Linked DNA regions of Kluyveromyces lactis. The protein of the gene in region 1 interacts with the protein of each later gene in a biochemical or structural test. Links are inferred from orthologs where the notes say so. Each region holds a gene or a part of one and is shown on either strand. Other genes may lie near its edges.

Evidence for each region.
Region 2: of the proteins of CKA2 (region 1) and FIP1, one has a biochemical effect on the other in vitro, tested with the Saccharomyces cerevisiae proteins (4 studies listed by BioGRID). The link is inferred for Kluyveromyces lactis from reciprocal best matches to the Saccharomyces cerevisiae genes CKA2 and FIP1.

Annotation. Positions count from the first base shown.
Region 1 is NC_006042.1:1,518,130-1,521,478, reverse strand, and holds CKA2 (casein kinase 2 catalytic subunit CKA2), read right to left. Parts: upstream 1,680-3,349; coding exon 657-1,679; downstream 1-656. Other genes in the region: KLLA0_F16489g (uncharacterized protein), read left to right, coding at 1-49; SLD7 (Sld7p), read left to right, coding at 2,140-2,922. UniProt on the Saccharomyces cerevisiae protein: Catalytic subunit of a constitutively active serine/threonine-protein kinase complex that phosphorylates a large number of substrates containing acidic residues C-terminal to the phosphorylated serine or threonine.
Region 2 is NC_006041.1:534,414-537,664, forward strand, and holds FIP1 (cleavage polyadenylation factor subunit FIP1), read left to right. Parts: upstream 1-1,341; coding exon 1,342-2,229; downstream 2,230-3,251. Other genes in the region: transcription factor IME1, read left to right, coding at 1-444; BUD4 (Bud4p), read right to left, coding at 2,443-3,251. UniProt on the Saccharomyces cerevisiae protein: Polymerase-regulating component of the cleavage and polyadenylation factor (CPF) complex, which plays a key role in polyadenylation-dependent pre-mRNA 3'-end formation and cooperates with cleavage factors including the CFIA complex and NAB4/CFIB.

The DNA of each region.
Region 1 (3,349 bases):
CCACGACAGTGACGAGGAAAACGATGAAGATTACGAAATGGAACTGTAATCTGACTCGCCCAAGAAATCTGACCTCTTAAAAAATCCCATCCACTAACACAGCATACTACACGAAATCCGTCAAAGGTCTGGGATCTTTACGCATTTGATACCAAAAGATTGTTTTTTTCCCTGTGATTGAGAAATATAGACTAATAATAATGGCATTTTCAATTCTCATCACTGAACTTTCACCGCAATAATAGTTTCGATCATGGGTTTTTGTAACTATTTCCACCCTGTTTCATATTCCTTTGGTCTATTTCCTTTCCTACTTATAGTAGTGTCTCTCTCTCTGCGCCTGCGCTAGTAAGAGCCTTTTCTTTCAGGTTTGGTAGCTATTACACCTATTAATTATATATCCTTTTTAATGAATTAACGACTATCATAATATTACATCTTCTTTAAATCTTAAGCAAAAGAGACATGTGTTTCTGTCCTCTTTTTCAGGTGTTGTATTAATTATATGTTATTAGTATACATGCTTTTAATTGGAAAGCAATCAAAGACAGAAGAAGAATCCCCCAAAGTTAACCATAAATGGAAGATAAGAGGGAAAAGAAAATTTGATGATAGAGAGATGAGAAAACAGATATATATTACCGTTTAGGCATACACTATGAGAAATCTTTTTTGAAGAATTTATGCTCCATGGCTTCTTTTGCAGTTAATCTCTCTTGGTGATCATAACGTAGTAAATGGTCGATCAAATCAATTATTTCGTCCACAGCCAACGGCGTCTTATCATTGGCGAAATAGCTCCATGGTTTCCGTTCGTAGTTCTTCATGATATCGTTGTATTCTGCAGGAAGATCCAATCCGTAATGTTTCAAGTAATAGAATAACTCCTGCGTACCAAGTACCTTGGCAATTTTCACCAATTGATCTGCATTCGTGCTTCCTTTGAAAAATGGCTCCTTCTTGAAAACAATAGCTGCTATCATACATCCGACAGCCCACAAATCTAAAGAGTAATCGTATTGGTTTAAGCTCACCAAGAGTTCAGGTCCCTTGTGATAACGAGACGCCACCCTGATGTTATAATCCACTCCCGGATGGTAAAACTCTGCTAATCCCCAATCGATCAACCTTAGCTTACGTTCATTAGGATCAATCATGACGTTTTGAGGCTTCACATCACGATGCATGATACCCATCGAATGACAATAGTCTAAAGCAGTTAACAATTGTGTGAAATAAAATTGCGTATCCGATAATGTAAACGATGGATAAAGCGTACGGAAGTCGACATTTTTCACCTCTTCAAAGATCAATGCCGGGATTTTGGATCCTGGATCTTGAACAATATCCAATAATCCAATTATATTAGGTCCCCCTGTCAAATTAGTTAACACTTTTAACTCTCTATAAATTTTCTTCATCTTCACTGGCTTGAGAACCTTGATGACGCATGGTATATCGTTCAATACAGATTTCCCTTTGAAAACTTCACTGTATTTACCACGACCAATCTTTTTTATCACTTCATAGTTCGAAATCTTACCCCAATCAATCATCACGCATTGTTCATAATCCCAGTACTCTTGAGGGCGTTTCTCACAAGCATCCTGATACACCCTAGCAACGCTATAAACTCGTTTGCTCTTCTTATTCAACGCAGAAGGTTGTAACGTCGACATGATGAGAAGGAAATCAAAAAAAAAAAAGAGATGACCTCCCTTTTCCCGTTTTCAAAACTTAGAGTCTGATGTGATCCAAAACGGTACTCTCTAGCCTCTGTAGTCTCTAACCACTTCCAACTTCTGGCTGTCTATTGTTCAATTACGTTGAGCAATAACATTTTTTTTCTTTGCCTTCACTTTATTTCAATGTTGAAAACTGAAAGCATTTTGTTTGGAGCCGTGAAAGCGTCGAGAGAAAAAAGATTCGTATGGTAACAATGGATATAAGCTAAGCTTTTGCACCGTGAACCACAATACAACGGCGGACTTTCATATACAGGGAAACTAAGACTATAAAGGAGGTGAATACATTGTCTGGTCAGTTTCAAATTGTTAAGTGAAAGTAGCAAACGTGAAAGAAGACCTCGGTAGGCCTGGTATTAGGGGAATTGGACCTGGAGAGTTGCGCGATGAACCTATGACACTAGAAAAAGAACTTATCTTGAGGCTTAATGTGGGTCATAACACTGTGATAAGAGACGTCCAGTTGTGGCGTGAATTTGAGGACGGTGATGGCCAAATTGCAGTGAAAAATTGTCTGGCAGAAGTTGTTGGAATGGTCAACATTGATAAGCTGCCGTTTTGGCTCAATAGAGGTCAACGGTACCAATGCTTCACTACTAGCGAGACCAGCGTCAATTATTTCAGAGCGAAGTTGATGAGACAACGACACAGGAATCGAGGAATTGTATGTAAAGTAACGGGATCCCAAGTGTTGACGAAAGAGCAATTCGAATATTTCCTATTCTACAAGCGTTTGAAGACCGATATAAACGCGTCTTTCGAAATTGAATCGATGGTACTTCACTTATCGACTAAACACGAACTTGATAAGAAATTGATACCGTTATCAGCCGACGAACTACAATCTGTTGTGCCAAGTAACGCTGGAGCAACGATGTCGATCGAATCGATTCTAGAGAAGAACAAACGTCAGCGAATACTGAAAAGTAACTCGTTGAACAAACAAGTCTTGCTCAACGATCAACAGCAGCAATTTATGTCGTTGCTGTCTCAGTGCATACTTTCAGGACTCAGGCTACGAGGAGTTCATCGAACTCAACACGAAAAATTGTACAAGATGACGTACAAGGCGTCTGAATTCGCTTTCAGAGACGAACTCAGAGAAACTGAACCCATTAGTTTTGAATCGATCCAAGACTGTGTAGAAACACTACTGAAACTGTTTACGAAGACCTGACTTTCAAGAAGTACATGCATATACATAGACAAAAGTAAACAAATTTTCACCGCATTTACGTTAATTGAACCGTTCACAGTTCATCGCTGCAACGGATTTTTAGTTTTTTTTTATTTCCTTTGCTGACATATTTCCAGAATATAGTTAACAGACAAGCCACATCGTTTACTTATGCACACAGATGCACATGCCTAGGCTCCAACAACTAACAGTAAGATCTTGGTGGCAAAAGCAGCCATATATGCATCTTATTTAAGTGACGAGAATCAAATTGGATGCCAATTATTTGATCGAGGAACATCATTATCACTGATACATACATTCCTCCTTTTTTTTTTTTCAACATTCTATTTTTAAGGTATTATTGACGAACGATCAGACACACTGTTAGCACGATCAAGTGTCAAAGGAAAAGATTAGATCTGAT
Region 2 (3,251 bases), on another chromosome or scaffold:
CATACTCAGCCTGTCCATTTGATTCACGTTCACAATTTGAAATTTTTACAGACGAGTTTTGAAGAAGAAGATGAACAGAGAATTATTTGTTCTTCTTCTACACCACCTTCACTGGCTGACACAAGACACAGTTCTGTTTTCTCTTCTACAAGAAGTATCAACGTGTTACTGGAAGAAGACGAGCAAGATTTGGACAATGACTTGCAGTGCATGGCTCCAGTGAAGAAAAAACAGCAACGTGCATTGGTGGCACCCATCATGTTCTCCTCTTCATCTTCAAAGAAAGATTCGGTCGTTTCGGAAAAGGATCAGTTTGTTTACACGCTAACTAACAAGTTACTACCTTATTTTGGGTATTTCTTGGCTGATTCTAACGATTTGGATTATTTCGATAAGATTAGATTCCAAGAAATTGATTACAAGTTCTCCAAGACGTATTTTTGATGGAACAATCCTCATCCTTTTATCCAGATATTATTTTTCCCCCTTTGCTATAGACTGCCTGTATGATACACCTGCATATTTTTTTCCTTCTTCATCATATTTCTTACATTCATTCCTTTCTAATTCTCTACTTCATTTCAAATTACCTTCCATTTTTTTTTTTACTTTGTTTCTGTGGGTGCGGACACAAGGTGACCATGTTTAGTCAACCTTACAGGTCCCATAAACACTTCAAAAAAGAACATTCACTTCTCAATTGCAGTTTACAATCGACTTTTTTGAACATTCATTCTCAACAATGTCTGACTCTTTTCAACACATTAAAGACACTCACTCGCCTGTAATGTTTGTTTCCTCTGTTGTTTTCTGTCAATTTTTTTAATTAATTCACACTTTTACTCTGAAAAAACAGGACAAAGTATTATGCTTCGTCAATAAGATGCACTTTTTTCTTTGGTTTCCCTTGTTACTTTTCCATATCTTTAATTCTTACCATCGCATATTCTTTCAAGTTCGTTAACATCGGAAATCGATACTGTCCGCAACATGCACATCTAATTCTTCTGTAAATCATGTATTCTCATTAGCTACACATTTAACCCATATTATACATTCCGTCCAAACAAGCTGAGTCGCTGTCCGCTGTCCGGTGACAGATATTCATTAGAAATGTTTGTCATTGAATACGACAATAATTTACCCGGATATGCGTCGATTTAACAGCATCATTTTGGTAAATCTTAGCATTGAGAGTTAACTATTAGTTGATTTCTATATGAGAAGAAGAACTATCTTCCTGTTAAGATACCTTTTGGGTTGCGCAGCCTTCCAAACTTTCCAAGCATTTATTGATAAATCTTCTACCAGTCCACGAACGACATATAGAAACGAATCGTTATGAGCAGTGAGGATGAAGACGATAAGTTTCTATACAGCGATGAGGAGGATTCTAACGTAGTCGCAAAGCAAGAGGGTCCTGCATTGAAAAGACAAAAGGTCGAAGAAACACCCAAGATACTAGCTCATGATGTACCGGAAGGTAATACGAATGAGGTAGAGAGTGAGGCCTCCAATCAGGATAGTTCATCAGATGAGGATGACAGCAGTGACTCAGATTCAGATGTTGAGATTATCATCGGAACTGGTAACGATACCTCTAAGATAGATTCTGGTAAGTCCCAGATATCTGCTATAACAGACACAACGCCTCTTGGTACAGCGGATCATGCTATTGCAGCAGTGGCTGGTATATCGGACGTGGTTCCTGTACAGGAGGGTTCAATACCACCTGAACAGCAGCAGCAGCAACAACAAACTATTGATTTGAACCCGGATGCACAATTCGATGGGAAACCTATAGTACAGATCGATCCAGAAATTCTAAAGGAGAAGCCCTGGAGACAACCAGGAGCGAATATTTCAGATTATTTCAATTATGGATTTAATGAACAGACTTGGATGGAATATTTACATAGACAAGAACATTTGACGAAAGAATACAACCCACAAAAGATTTTGATGAACCTCCTAGCTTTACAGCAGCAAGGAAAGTTAAATGATCCAGGTTCAGGACAACCTGTACAGAATACAATCCAACCTCCTCCTCCGCCTATGGGACTTCCCCCCATGTTTGGTGGTTTCCCAGGATTTCCATTTCCGGGTATGATGAATAACATGCAAAATCAAAATGTATCAAGCATGAACAACATGAACAACATGAACAACATGAACAACATGAACAACATTAACAACAACAACAATAATAATCTCAACGACAAGAAATGAAATTTAGTGCTTGAGGCTCGTATTGATTGCAAGCAACATTAATGATATATAGCGGACATGTACATGTATTTTCGATTCCTTGATGGAATTGTAACACAGCTTAGTTTTAAAGACCTCATGTTGACATTTGTTATAATTAGAGAAATGACATTAATATACTATACTTCAAAAAAAATGGCAAAGACAAACTATATATCTGAATACTATAACAGTTTAAAAAGTAATGTTGTATTGTTCGTTTTCAAAAACTCTTTTGATCCATGGTTGATGGAATTTATTCAGTTCAACAACGCTGGTCAAAATTTCAACCCATTGTTGTTTTAAAAGATTAGAATCAGCGTTAAAATTTATAACTTCATCATTTGCAAAAAGGAGTTTGAAGCAATCGCTGAAAAGTACCATATCAGTAAAGTTTCTCATTTGTTTTCCAGTTGCCGTTTTACCATCAGAGTATATATCTACTACGTTTAGAAGATTCAACAAAGTTTGTGGTTTTCTGGTAACTTCGTCATGAGCTATAAGTTCAGTGCCTTTCAAAATCATATATCTTCTTTTCAACATTCCCTCTACATCACCGCCTTCTTGCCACAGGAATCCTTCATTATTGACCCTTTGCTGTTCAAGATACTTCTCGCAACACTTCTGAACTGCCTTCAGATTCTTTGGGAATCTTTCCATGGACGAAGTTCTTGGAAGATACATCACATCAACTGTAAGAGAGCAAACCTTAGATGGATTTTTCCGAGGAAGTTTCCATAATTCGTCTTCTTTATATGTTTGTGCGATTTTCTCATCAAATTCGCGCTCCCATTCATTGAGGAATTCAAAGTGTAGCTCATTTGTTTTGTATTTGATTTGTTTCAGCATATTTTTATTGACATTTACCTGGCAGCGTGCAAATGAACCATCCTTTGCGAATTTGAAGTCCCAATCGTCATATTTCAATTTCTTAGTAACAAACCTTTTCTCAAGCCTATACTTTGTTTTGCCGAACGCAAATCGTTTCTTGATAGGAATCTTCT